Linked DNA regions of Arabidopsis thaliana. The protein of the gene in region 2 purifies or fractionates together with the protein of the main gene of each other region. This does not show direct contact. Each region holds a gene or a part of one and is shown on either strand. Other genes may lie near its edges.

What was found. The genes of interacting proteins can lie anywhere in the genome.
Region 1: the proteins of CPN20 (region 2) and NDPK1 fractionate together in Arabidopsis thaliana (co-fractionation; one large-scale study listed by BioGRID). This does not show direct contact.
Region 3: the proteins of CPN20 (region 2) and MS2 fractionate together in Arabidopsis thaliana (co-fractionation; one large-scale study listed by BioGRID). This does not show direct contact.

Annotation. Positions count from the first base shown.
Region 1 is NC_003075.7:5,921,917-5,924,908, forward strand, and holds NDPK1 (nucleoside diphosphate kinase), read left to right. Parts: upstream 1-1,567; coding exon 1,568-1,618; intron 1,619-1,738; coding exon 1,739-1,787; intron 1,788-2,100; coding exon 2,101-2,450; downstream 2,451-2,992. UniProt on the Arabidopsis thaliana protein: Major role in the synthesis of nucleoside triphosphates other than ATP. The ATP gamma phosphate is transferred to the NDP beta phosphate via a ping-pong mechanism, using a phosphorylated active-site intermediate.
Region 2 is NC_003076.8:7,012,700-7,017,200, forward strand, and holds CPN20 (chaperonin 20), read left to right. Parts: upstream 1-1,969; 5' UTR 1,970-2,217; exon of another isoform or gene 2,218-2,310; 5' UTR 2,311-2,315; coding exon 2,316-2,489; intron 2,490-2,759; coding exon 2,760-2,939; intron 2,940-3,038; coding exon 3,039-3,194; intron 3,195-3,281; coding exon 3,282-3,359; intron 3,360-3,481; coding exon 3,482-3,655; 3' UTR 3,656-3,757; exon of another isoform or gene 3,758-3,966; 3' UTR 3,967-3,999; downstream 4,000-4,501. Other genes in the region: BGAL7 (beta-galactosidase 7), read left to right, coding at 1-194, 279-506, 592-803, 905-1,295; NPH4 (Transcriptional factor B3 family protein / auxin-responsive factor AUX/IAA-like protein), read right to left, coding at 4,005-4,185, 4,273-4,463. UniProt on the Arabidopsis thaliana protein: Seems to function only as a co-chaperone, along with CPN60, and in certain cases is essential for the discharge of biologically active proteins from CPN60. Required to activate the iron superoxide dismutases (FeSOD).
Region 3 is NC_003074.8:955,237-961,574, forward strand, and holds MS2 (methionine synthase 2), read left to right. Parts: upstream 1-1,625; 5' UTR 1,626-1,899; exon of another isoform or gene 1,900-2,053; intron 2,054-2,341; 5' UTR 2,342-2,365; coding exon 2,366-2,715; intron 2,716-2,815; coding exon 2,816-2,903; intron 2,904-3,000; coding exon 3,001-3,128; intron 3,129-3,223; coding exon 3,224-3,615; intron 3,616-3,720; coding exon 3,721-3,884; intron 3,885-3,970; coding exon 3,971-4,051; intron 4,052-4,158; coding exon 4,159-4,325; intron 4,326-4,418; coding exon 4,419-4,524; intron 4,525-4,606; coding exon 4,607-5,059; intron 5,060-5,135; coding exon 5,136-5,504; 3' UTR 5,505-5,796; downstream 5,797-6,338. UniProt on the Arabidopsis thaliana protein: Catalyzes the transfer of a methyl group from 5-methyltetrahydrofolate to homocysteine resulting in methionine formation.

The DNA of each region.
Region 1 (2,992 bases), on a different chromosome or scaffold from region 2:
GAAGTAATTGGCTACATCGAATAATTTATGTACTTATATATAGTTTCTATATCAATTCATATACTTGATATATATATTATAAAAAATAAAATCCTTAAAACTACAATTTTTGTTTAGAAAATGTGTTGTGTATATCTTCAACATGAGAGAATGCATCAAAGTGGTGTGATCAAACTCTTTTAATCCAAATCTAACAAATATATTAGGGTTTTGTGCCAACAACCCTCAAAAATATTTTTTTTTGCAACATAACCTTTCATATTAAATACATGTAGGTCAATACTCTGATATCAAAAGTCACCCACAGTATAACCACGTGCATAGATTTTATATAATCTTTGGGCGTGCTTAGATTTTGCAAACCGTATAAGTATGTATATAAGTTATTAAACTACGTCGTTTGAGCATCTTTTCGGAAAATAATACATTACTAGAGTGGATTGGAACCAATAACCTATAATACTAAATAATGCACTTAACCAATTGTGCTGCAAGATTTATTGTTGATATTGCATACCGATAAATATATATTGTGAACATTGCATTCTGGGTTTCTTCATCTTCTTAGGAAATTAGGTTTATTAGCAATCCGAAATCTCTATTCACGTGAACTAGTTTGTTTATCACCACTGATTTCATTATCTTTGGCCATCATCAACAATTTGTAGAGCAAGCAAGGGCTCATTCTCATCGCAATTAATCTATTCTTCATCGAGGAAAGCTCTGAGACGAGGCGTGGGTGGAAGAATTGAGCGTGTTCAGACTTGGGTTTGATCCGATCGTAACCGCTCGCGCTGTTTGTCAAGTTTTATGTTTACAATTCTGAAATAATGTTATTGTTGTATTCGATTCATGTTTAAACTATATATATTAATCGGTTTGTAAAGTTAACAAAATCACTCTGCTCAATTGGTTAAGTAATCTTTGAATAGTTCAATATGCCATGCGTTCAAATCTATTTTCCAACATTATTTTGCGTTTTTGTTTAAAGGCTCAAAACAACGTAGTTTTAATAACCTATATATAAACATACGGTTTGCAAAATCTATACACGTCTAAGAGATATACTATAGGTGACTTTTGAGATCGCAGACCTGCATTTATTTAACTTACATGATTGAGTTACAAAAAAAATTACTTAGAGAATTTTTTGGCACAAAATCCAATTTTTATAACTAATTGAACCTTAAAATAATAATAAGTAAAAGCCGTTTTTTTTGTTAAAAGAAGGCTCAAAACGACGTAATTTTAATAATCATGTACAGATTTATATGATTTGCAAAATCTATACACGTGCAAGAGTTATATTGCGAACGACTTTTAATATCACAGTATTAATCTACGTTTGTTTGACATAAATAATTAAGTTGCAAAAAAATATTATTTGTGTTTTTTTTATGAAGCCCAATATTTTATTTAATTGGGCCTAACATAATAATAAGGGAAGCCCAATAATTTGTAGCAAATATTCTAGGGTTAGAATATTCTTCAACAGAATTAGGGTTACATGTGCGGACTCTATATAAATCTTTTTTGCCTCCTACGAATCACAAGTAATAAGAAAACAATGGAGCAAACTTTTATTATGATCAAGCCTGACGGCGTCCAGAGAGGACTCGTAAGCTTCCCTTTTCTCTTAATACATACTTGTTGATCTTGATCTGATTTTGGTTTTGTATTCAGTTCTTTGGATTGTTTATACTTAAAAGATCGATATGTTTGTGTTTTTTTCTTTCAGATCGGTGAAGTCATCTGCAGGTTTGAGAAGAAGGGTTTCACTTTGAAAGGTAATGATTTCGATTACCAAACTTGATTTTACATTATAATTAGAGGTCTTAGATCTAATTAAAGTCACTTTGTTACTTGAATTGAGATTGTAATGACACTATAGTTGCTTATGGTTTGGTCTAGTTTCTGAACACTAATAGTTTAGTAAAACTTGTTTGACTTGACAAGTATTCTGTGTTGTCTAATAGATTTTAGATTATAGTATCTGTGCATAAGAACTTGTTATTATCTGGACCTTTTGTATTATGTAATTTGGTAGATAAGAGTGTTAGTCTTGTGTTTCTGATCAGTGTAGATTTGTATTTTATACAGGTCTGAAGTTGATCAGTGTAGAGAGATCTTTTGCTGAGAAGCACTACGAAGACTTATCTTCAAAGTCTTTCTTCAGTGGACTCGTTGACTACATTGTATCCGGCCCTGTTGTTGCTATGATCTGGGAAGGAAAGAATGTTGTCTTGACCGGAAGAAAGATCATTGGAGCTACCAACCCAGCAGCTTCTGAGCCTGGAACTATCCGTGGGGACTTTGCTATTGACATTGGCAGGAACGTGATCCATGGTAGTGACTCTGTCGAGAGTGCAAGAAAGGAGATTGCTTTGTGGTTCCCTGATGGACCTGTCAACTGGCAGAGCAGCGTTCACCCTTGGGTCTATGAAACTTGATGATCTGTTGCTTTTTCAGTAGTGTGTTTTCGACATTGCTTGTCTTTTGAACAAGACTTCTATATTTAAGTTGAGTTTGATTATCCTTCTCTACTTTGCTTGCTTGCTACATATGAATACAACAGCTACCAACTGGTGATATAAAATATATCAGTTATTGCAGATACTGAACCAAAATTGACTCTTACCAATGGTTAGATCAAACCTATTTAGTAAACACAAGATCATACTTCTTGTAACCTTGTGTTTCATGAACACATAATGTTGTCAATCTCTTAGATGCTCTCGAAAACTGCGACGTTCGACAAAGTGGCAAGCTTAAGTTGTCTAGTAAGCCATTGTCCAAGTTTGAGGCTGACACCAACTTGAAGGGGGCATACTAGGAGAGAGTGATAAGAAAAGTTTTGAGTATTTGTCTACTGAATTTCAAGCTTACTGATGAACATTGGCAAGCTAAATTTAAATAACTAAATTTTACAATTTTGGTTCTTCAAACTTTAGAGAAGAAAAGAATCCAACGGTCAGGTTCAACTCCAACCCGT
Region 2 (4,501 bases):
CACTTTGGAGCCGAAACATGACGTTACGGGTTCACAGCAATGCCCATGTTCTACACGCTTACGTCAATGGAAAATACGTCGGTAACCAATTCGTAAAGGACGGGAAATTTGATTACAGATTTGAGAGGAAGGTCAATCATCTCGTTCATGGGACTAATCACATTTCACTTCTCAGCGTTTCCGTTGGACTACAGGTAAGATGTGAAACTATAGTTTTTATATAAATTTCTTTCTCCAAAATTTGTTGTGACAACTAAAGTTGTGGTCATATGTTATAGAATTATGGACCTTTCTTTGAGAGCGGACCAACTGGAATCAATGGTCCTGTGTCCTTAGTCGGATACAAAGGAGAGGAAACAATCGAGAAGGATCTCTCGCAGCATCAATGGGACTACAAGATTGGTTTGAATGGATACAACGACAAACTTTTCAGCATAAAATCTGTTGGTCACCAAAAATGGGCAAACGAAAAGCTACCTACTGGTCGGATGTTGACATGGTACAAGGTCAGTATTAATTAAAACCTTCTACAAAAAAATTATTTGTTTTTGCAAATGAACGGTTTCTTACAATGAAATGTTATATCTTCAGGCAAAGTTCAAGGCTCCTCTTGGTAAGGAGCCAGTGATTGTGGACTTAAATGGTCTCGGGAAAGGTGAGGCTTGGATCAACGGTCAGAGCATTGGTCGTTACTGGCCGAGCTTTAACTCTAGCGATGATGGTTGCAAAGACGAATGTGACTACCGTGGGGCGTATGGTAGCGACAAATGCGCTTTTATGTGCGGCAAACCAACTCAAAGATGGTAACTAAACTACTAATGGTTCCTTCATTACATCACATAACTTTGACTTATAATTATTAACGTTTCATTATTCTGAATCTCTGATGGCCGAACTCTTGTAGGTACCATGTTCCACGATCGTTCTTGAATGCGAGCGGACATAACACTATCACACTATTCGAAGAAATGGGCGGTAACCCGTCAATGGTGAACTTCAAGACAGTAGTGGTTGGAACAGTTTGTGCCAGGGCTCATGAACACAACAAAGTGGAGTTGTCCTGCCATAACCGGCCGATTTCAGCCGTTAAATTTGCAAGCTTTGGAAATCCGTTGGGGCATTGTGGGTCATTCGCGGTTGGTACGTGCCAAGGAGACAAGGATGCTGCGAAGACCGTGGCTAAAGAGTGTGTTGGCAAACTCAACTGCACTGTCAATGTGTCTTCCGACACGTTTGGTTCTACTTTGGACTGTGGAGATTCACCTAAAAAATTGGCCGTGGAATTGGAGTGCTAGATTAGATCTTAGCTCTAGCTAGCTAGTGATTGCAATAATTTCCATCAAATAATGTCGTACTTGTTTTTGATCTATCAGGTTTTTTAGATGATTTGGATTTAGGATTGTGGAATAAATATTATGATCGAATAAAAGTTTCTCTTGTTTAAATATTTTATCTTGAGATGGTTTTTGTTCTGACCTTTATATTATTAAGCAACGACACTACAATTTGTTTTCTCTGTTGTGTTAAGAAATAAGTTTCACAGTTTTCTCTTTAACAATAGCCACAATTTTGTTTATGTCAACATTAACCACATTTTATAGTATCTGTCGTGCTCTTAGCTAAGGCGAAGCATACTTCAAAAGATTAAATTACTTTCTCATTACACATAATATTTATGATTTTAAAAGTATTATCAGCATTCTCCTCATATAGTACTAAAATTCTTTTTTAATTTGGATAGTGTAATATTTTTGTGATTACCAAATAATAGATGTTTTAGCATGATTCATAACAAGAAAAACATCTCAGAATGATTTACTAATCTATAAATTTCAGAAAGTGTGGCAAGAGGGTTAGGTAACGACCCGACCCGACCGCCCGGATCGGACCCGTTTAAGACAAAAAAGACCCACCCGGTTAGAGCGTTCTAGAACACTTGGGCAATAAAAAGAGAGGAGTCATGTGTTTTAGTCTATCTAACTCTCTCTCTACTGCAATTTTTAGGGTTTTATCCTCCGAAAGTCTCAACCTTTTTCTTATCCTCAACAAGGTATCATCACTCACTCTCTTCTCTTTAGCTACCCACTCCCTCTCTCTTCACTGTCTATTCGTATTATAGAAATCCTTTACAACGAGAATTGAATACAAAGGTTTGAACTTTGGGCGGATAAAGTAATCTAGTTCGCTCAATAGTGGTTGGGTTTTACTCTTATTTTGGTGAATCTGGGAGAAATCTTCATTTTTGCCCATTTGTTTATCTGTCTCTCTCAGTTTCATACTAATTGAGAGTTTGTGTGTTTTGACGGATAGGAGAAATGGCGGCGACTCAACTTACAGCGTCACCAGTGACTATGTCAGCAAGGAGCTTAGCCTCGCTGGATGGTCTCAGAGCTTCGAGTGTCAAGTTTTCATCTTTGAAACCAGGGACCCTTAGACAGAGCCAGTTCCGTCGTTTGGTTGTCAAAGCTGCTTCTGTTGTTGCCCCTAAGGTACTTTTCTCAATTCTTTGTTGTTTGGTTACTTGTTCTGGATGATAACTTATCTGAATCTTGGATTGTTGTTTTGTTGTTTTGGCCATTCGTTTGTGTTATACAATCCAATCCGCTAAATGATGTCTAAAGAAACTAAGCTTTAGATGCTTCTAGCTTCTCTTTTGCAAGCTTGGTTTGTATCTTAATGGCGCCTTGTGAGACATTTTGAGAAGTCCCTTCTCTTCTAGTTAATAATTTTCTCTGTTTATTGTGTATGGTTATTTACAGTATACTTCAATTAAGCCATTGGGAGATCGAGTTTTGGTGAAGATCAAGGAGGCAGAGGAGAAGACTTTAGGTGGTATCTTACTTCCATCCACTGCTCAATCAAAACCTCAAGGAGGTGAAGTCGTTGCCGTGGGTGAAGGAAGAACTATTGGGAAGAACAAAATTGATATCACTGTCCCTGTAACAACCTCACTACCCTTCAAGCCCTCTTTCTTTGTTTGCTTTGTTGTTTGCTAATAAATGTATATCTGATATGCCTCCATCTTTTTCCTGATGCAGACTGGAGCACAAATTATCTACTCCAAATACGCAGGAACTGAGGTGGAGTTCAATGATGTGAAGCATCTTATCCTCAAGGAAGATGATATTGTTGGCATTCTTGAGACAGAGGACATCAAAGATCTCAAACCTTTGAATGACCGAGTCTTTATTAAGGTTCGTCCCTTCTGTTTTACCTTAGTCATCTTATTATTGACTCTGCATGCAAATGTTAACTTCTGTTTTGAAATGTCTTGAGTTTAGGTTGCTGAGGCGGAGGAGAAAACAGCTGGAGGGTTGTTGTTAACCGAGACTACCAAAGAGAAGCCTTCTATTGGCACGGTAAGTGCTCACTTGATATCATGTCCATTCGGGGAATCTGATACTTTCTTAGTAGCTTGATGTGATAGTCAGTTCATACACAAGTTCCAATTATACATATTCTCCTCTTCATTTTATGGCAGGTGATAGCAGTTGGACCGGGTTCCCTAGACGAGGAAGGTAAAATTACGCCTCTACCAGTATCAACCGGAAGCACAGTACTTTACTCCAAGTATGCTGGTAACGACTTCAAGGGCAAAGATGGTTCCAACTACATTGCCCTCAGAGCTTCAGATGTGATGGCTATACTTTCTTAGTTATGTTATATCTTTGTAATCTGCAACTTGTATCCCAATTGTGGAAATTTTTTCCGTAAACGGCCTGAGCATAATCTGGAATAAAGACTTGAGTTTGAAAATGTGATTTTATTGCTGATTTCATGTTTTTCCTTCTCTTTTTGGTTACAAGCGGTTTCAGTTGATCAGTTAAACTTGGTAGAAACAGTGACTCACAGCAAATAAAATCTCCGTGTAAACTTAGTGGAAGATATTTTACAGGTAAATGCTCTACAGTGCCCAGTGGAAACTTGAGACATGTTATCAACGAGAAGTTATATTACAAAACGAAGAAAAAAGAATCTTTGTCTGTGAGAGAACTCTTCTGCCATCACCGGTTAAACGAAGTGGCTGAGTTATCATCATAATGACCTCTCCAAGCATTGCCACTGTCACCGCCACTACAAGCTTGATTAGTAACTGGTACACCGGCAAAGTTCCCGTCTAAGCTCATCTGCTGAACCTCAGCTGATGAAAGGATCTTAATGCTCTGAACACAGTTTACGAATTCTCTGCAAAAATCACGATTTTAAAGGTTAGCAAAAAAATAATGGAACTTCTAACAGTCTGATGTGTGAATGTAATTGCTCTCTACTTACTCCCATGGATCATCGCCGACGAGGAGGATGTCATTTTCATGATCGACATAAACAAGTTTCCAGTCAGATGTTTGAGGATCTTCGAGCTGTCCTTCGATCCCAAACATGCGCGCTAGATCATGCCTCAGCTCATCGTAACCTCTGTAACGGTTGACGTCTATTGATCTCCCCACTGAGCCTCGTTTTTGCACCTGTAGGAAAATTTAACATTTGTCAAACCGAAAACATA
Region 3 (6,338 bases), on a different chromosome or scaffold from region 2:
ATATGTTTTGTTATTTGTTCCTGCTCTTGAGAAACCTTAGGAAAACAAAAAATTTGGGAGGTTTTGGGTGGTGAAGAAAAGTTTCTTCTTTTATTATATTTTGGAAATATGGATATATGATGATAAGAGATATCAATCTATGAATTTTTTATTTTCCTTAATTAGTAAAAAATTTCGATCTATGGATATCAGTATATCGTCTATGAATTTTTTATTTTCCTTATGATAAGAGATATCAATCTATGGATATATGAATTCTTTTAGTTTCCTTATATATTGAATATCATATTCTCTTTTCAAAGTATGGAAACTTTATCGTCTCTTGCATGTGATCTCGCCGTTAAAACTTATAGTATATTCTGTAGGATTGATGATATGTAAACGTGTTTATTCATTTAACTTTCTTACAAAAAAAATTGAAAGTAAATTAGGTATGTAATGTGTAATGCGATATTTCAAGACGCACAAGTATATATTAGTCGGAACATTTTGTCAAATTCTTTTACTTTGGGAATACCGAATACGCATGATACATTAGGCATTAGCGAGAAATAAGAAAAAAAAAATGTCTCATTAAATGGTCGTGCGTTTTTATATCTATATCCCACCGACAGCCGACAAAACCATAGCAAGGCATCTACTGATCTACTAATGCTTCGGAATAGACCGATGTTGGATATTGTGAGGAAATATAAAATTTACCGGATACAAATATTTCTGTGTTTTGTTTTGAAATTTGAAGTTACTTGTTAAGCGTCTTGATGGATTAAAGTTTTTTGAGTCGAAAAACAAAAGAACGGACTTTCTCATGTGAAAGCATTAAAAAAAAGAGTTCTTGCTACAAAACAAGTTACAAGAGATGGTAGAAATACACTTCTTTATTCGAAACATAGAATTTTCGTATTAGTCGTCCAAACAGAGCATTGAATATTCTTTACTGAACTAGTTTACCATTTCATACTAGACTTCTTTACATACATTATAGACGTATATTCCTCATTAAGGTGAATATTATGACAACTTATGGTTAATAGGTTTCAAACGTCATTGTTGAATAAAAAAAATTATGTGAAGATCAAACCATAAGAGGGACGTGGAGGATCTCATAATCATTCACCAACTTTGTTTACCAAACAAATCTCCAAATTTGTGTGGCAAGAATTGTTGGTACTGACTCCCAAAAATGAAATTAAAAGTGAATATCTCACCAACTCCCTAATGGGCTCCACCCACCAATCCCGCTACCTCCTTCTCCTCATGTATACTCTTCACAAACAACACACACCAACTCTCCTCCCCACCTTCACATTTTCAATTCCATAATTAATCCCCTCTTAAGCTCTTATATCTTAATTAATACTACGCTTTACAATACAACATACACTAACCCCTTAATTAACCCTTAAACAATTGTTTTAAGCTTTAACTAGCCAGTGAGGACTTGACAAAAGTCAACTAAAATTACCAGTAAACTAGTACTAATTCAACGGAATTAAGTTCTACCAGCTTATATAATTGTAATGTCATGCCATGATCAAATACATTTTTTTATTATGTAAACCGTCGTTATACGTATAATTCTCGAAAGTTGTATATAATTGACCGTGCCCTTAAATTTGAAAGATAAAAATTAGTATCATTCTGGATACATGGATTACACGTATTTTTATTTATCATATAGTATAATGTTGTAGAGAGGGTAAAAACCTAAATATACGTATTTTGATGTACATGTACGTATTATTAATTTAAATAGAAAAATAATCAGCCACCACGAGTGAGTGAGAGAAACCAAGGAACGATGTGTAATTGATTTGCTATAAATAAGCTTAACACAGAACACTCTCCATCGTCGCTCTCTTTGCCCATCTCTCATCTCCACTCTTCTCATTCCGTAAGGTACGCTTCCGAGTTTCCATGGCTTCCGCATGACTATTCTTGCTCTCTCCCTTCCCACTCTCTTATTTACCTTCCGTCTCTTCGTTTTCTTCTCAATTCAATTTTCGTTTGATTCCGTTTCTTCTTCGTTCGTTAATACTTAGATCTTAATCCGGTGAGTGAAATTCTATGAAACACAGATCTGGATTTTTTATACGATCAGATTCGTAAAATCTCTGTTTTGCGATCTTTCTCTGCGTTAGATCTCTGTTTTCCCTAGTTGTGATTCGTTTTGATCTTTAAACTCTCTCATACTCTGTTTTCAATAAATACGACAAAAAAAACTGCAAAAGTTTTTTACTTTTTTAACGATTGGTGGCTTTTACCATATGACAAGAAGTACATTTTAGGATTGTGTTTGGTTTACTGACTGATTTTGGTTTTGTTTGTGGTTCAAATGTAGTAAAAAAACAAAAAACAAACAAAAATGGCTTCCCACATTGTTGGATATCCACGTATGGGACCTAAGAGAGAGCTCAAGTTTGCATTGGAGTCTTTCTGGGATGGCAAGAGCAGTGCCGATGATTTGCAGAAGGTGTCTGCTGATCTCAGGTCTGATATCTGGAAACAGATGTCTGCTGCTGGGATTAAGTATATCCCAAGCAACACCTTTTCTCATTATGACCAGGTGCTTGACACCACCGCCATGCTTGGTGCTGTTCCATCTAGATATGGATTTACCAGTGGTGAGATCGGTCTCGATGTTTACTTCTCCATGGCTAGAGGAAATGCCTCTGTTCCAGCTATGGAGATGACCAAGTGGTTTGACACCAACTAGTGAGTTTCTTCTCTACTCTTTAACTTGTGTGTTGACATTGTTATTGGATTTGTGAGTTGTGTTATTAACGTATTTTTTTAATGTTTCTGTTTGATGCAGCCATTACATCGTCCCAGAGTTGGGCCCTGAAGTGAAATTTTCTTACGCATCTCACAAGGCTGTCAATGAGTACAAGGAGGCCAAGGCTGTACGTACTCAACTAATTTTCCTATTTGAACATATATAGGCTTCTTTTGGTCTGGTATTGAATGTTCTAATATAGTAATGTGGTGTTGTTAATGCAGCTTGGTGTTGAGACCGTCCCTGTACTTGTTGGCCCTGTCTCTTACTTGCTTCTTTCCAAGCTTGCTAAGGGTGTTGACAAGTCATTTGATCTTCTCTCCCTTCTCCCCAAAATCCTCCCAGTTTACAAGTAAGAGATTACTTTTGCTCTAGTACTCAATTATTCTCTTTGACGCTAGGAAATTTGTTTCTGACATACTATTGGAATGGTGAATCTTTTCTCAGGGAAGTCATTGCAGAGCTTAAGGCAGCTGGTGCCTCCTGGATTCAGCTTGATGAGCCTCTCTTTGTCATGGATCTCGAGGGTCACAAACTCCAGGCTTTTAGCGGTGCCTATGCTGAGCTTGAATCAACTCTCTCTGGTCTGAATGTTCTTGTGGAGACCTACTTCGCTGATATCCCTGCTGAAGCATACAAGACCCTTACTTCCTTGAAGGGTGTGACTGCCTTCGGATTTGATTTGGTTCGTGGCACCAAGACCATTGACTTGATCAAGTCAGGTTTCCCACAGGGCAAGTACCTCTTTGCTGGTGTTGTTGACGGAAGGAACATCTGGGCCAATGACCTCGCTGCCTCTCTCATCACCTTGCAGTCACTTGAGGGTGTTGTTGGTAAAGGTATTATATTCTTCCAGAATCTCTTATGTGGATTACTCAATTAGAAGTGTTTAATTTGTTATCTTTCTCTAACTCGTTGGTTTTGTTATTTGTGAATTGGTGCAGACAAGCTTGTGGTCTCAACCTCTTGCTCTCTTCTCCACACTGCCGTTGACCTTATTAACGAGACTAAGCTTGATGCTGAAATCAAGTCGTGGCTAGCTTTTGCTGCCCAGAAGGTTGTTGAAGTTGACGCATTGGCCAAGGCTTTGGCCGGTCAGACAAATGAGGTATTGTAAAAATCCTACAAACATGTTTCCCAAGTGAACCCTTTGTTTGAAAAAGACTTCAAGTCTCTAATATTTCTCTCTTTCAGAGTTTCTTCACTGCCAACGCTGACGCATTGTCTTCGAGGAGGTCTTCCCCAAGAGTCACCAATGAGTCTGTCCAGAAGGCTGTAAGTTCTTGCTTTCATACTCAAGCTTTCTTTACTATTATGATGGTTTTCTCTGTATGATATATGTTTCTATTGATCCTAATGATTTGTAATTCCTGCAATCTCAGGCTGCTGCTTTGAAGGGATCTGACCACCGCCGTACAACTGAAGTTAGCGCAAGGCTAGATGCTCAGCAGAAGAAGCTTAACCTTCCAATCCTCCCAACCACAACCATTGGATCCTTCCCACAGACCGTGGAACTCAGGAGAGTTCGCCGTGAATACAAGGCCAAGAAGTTAGTCTCTTAATCATAATTTTTTTGCATTGATCATTTAAGCATGTTTAGTAAGTTGATTGTGATGCTAACTGGAACTCTTTCTTCTACTAGAATCTCTGAAGAGGATTACGTCAAGGCCATCAAGGAAGAGATCAAGAAAGTTGTTGACATCCAAGAGGACCTTGACATTGATGTTCTTGTTCACGGAGAGCCTGAGGTCAGTCTTTGTCTCTTACTAGACCCTAAAACTAATTACAACGTCCTGTTTCTGACTCAGCCATGCTTTGACAATATTATAGAGAAACGACATGGTTGAGTACTTTGGAGAGCAATTGTCAGGTTTCGCATTCACAGCAAACGGATGGGTGCAATCCTATGGATCTCGCTGTGTGAAGCCACCAGTTATCTATGGTGACGTGAGCCGCCCCAAGCCAATGACAGTCTTCTGGTCCTCAACAGCTCAGAGCATGACCAAACGTCCAATGAAGGGTATGCTTACAGGTCCAGTCACAATTCTCAACTGGTCTTTTGTCAGAAACGACCAGCCCAGGCACGAAACCTGTTACCAGATCGCTTTGGCCATCAAAGATGAAGTGGAAGACCTCGAGAAAGGCGGTATTGGAGTCATTCAGATCGATGAAGCCGCACTTAGAGAAGGATTGCCTCTTAGGAAAGCCGAACACTCTTTCTACTTGGACTGGGCTGTTCACTCTTTCAGAATCACCAACTGTGGCGTCCAAGACAGCACTCAGGTAACAACACTGTACACTTAAAATCTCAAATAGTGATGAATGTTTCTGCAACTAACTTCTTTATTTTATCTTCTAGATTCACACTCACATGTGTTACTCAAACTTCAACGACATCATCCACTCAATCATTGACATGGACGCTGATGTCATCACCATTGAGAACTCTCGTTCAGACGAGAAGCTTCTCTCAGTGTTCCGTGAAGGAGTGAAGTACGGTGCAGGAATCGGTCCTGGTGTTTACGACATTCACTCTCCGAGAATACCATCCACAGATGAAATTGCAGACAGGATCAACAAGATGCTTGCGGTTCTTGAGCAGAACATCTTGTGGGTTAACCCTGACTGTGGTCTGAAGACAAGGAAGTACACTGAGGTTAAACCAGCACTTAAAGCCATGGTTGACGCGGCTAAGCTTATCCGCTCCCAGCTCGGTAGTGCCAAGTGAAGAGCTTGAAGATATTATTTCTATATTCCGGGATTTTTCTACGTGGTTTGTGTTTGTTCAGTTTCAATAACTTTTCTTCCAAGAAAAATATTTTAGCCAAAGTTAGGTTTTGAGGGAATGGAGTCACACTCTCTCGCTTTCGTTGAAGAGAGTTTACGGCTTTATACTATATGTTTCTCTTGTTGCAATGTTATATGTATCTTTGTTTTCTCTAATGAAATATATGCTTCTTTGATCTCTTGAAAGTGTGGATACGAATTAATTTGTTATACAAGCCCCCAAAATGTGAAATCTTAAAATCACTACTAGTGTTGTAGAACTAAAGAATTTGCTGAAAATAATCCATTATTGTTATAAGATCATCCACCATACTACAAAAAGATTTGATTTGATACCATGAAAAAGGACACAGTTTCGAACCTTTGGAATGCTCGATTCGTGCATGTAAAGATCACTTGACGTGGTATACCAGAGAACCAAAAGTAGTACTATATTTTCATGTCTTGTTAACCATTTCTTTTGCATGGTGTAAGCATTTCTTTTCAAAGTACCAAAAGTGCGGTATTTCATTTTATGTGGAATTTCTTTTCCAGAAATTTATAAACTTTATCACCGAACGCAAGTTACACAATAACACTGCAAAAGTGAACCCAAAAAAAAAAACCCTGTAAAAGTAAAAATTTGCTTAAACTTAACATTCTTTCACCGCTCCGTGACGTGGACATTTGGCTGGCAAAGAAAAGGCATAACATCCAATCAAAGATATCCACGTAGTCCGATTTATGTCACGAGAGCTGACGCGTCACATTATGCATTTTTTTTTTTTTTTTACAC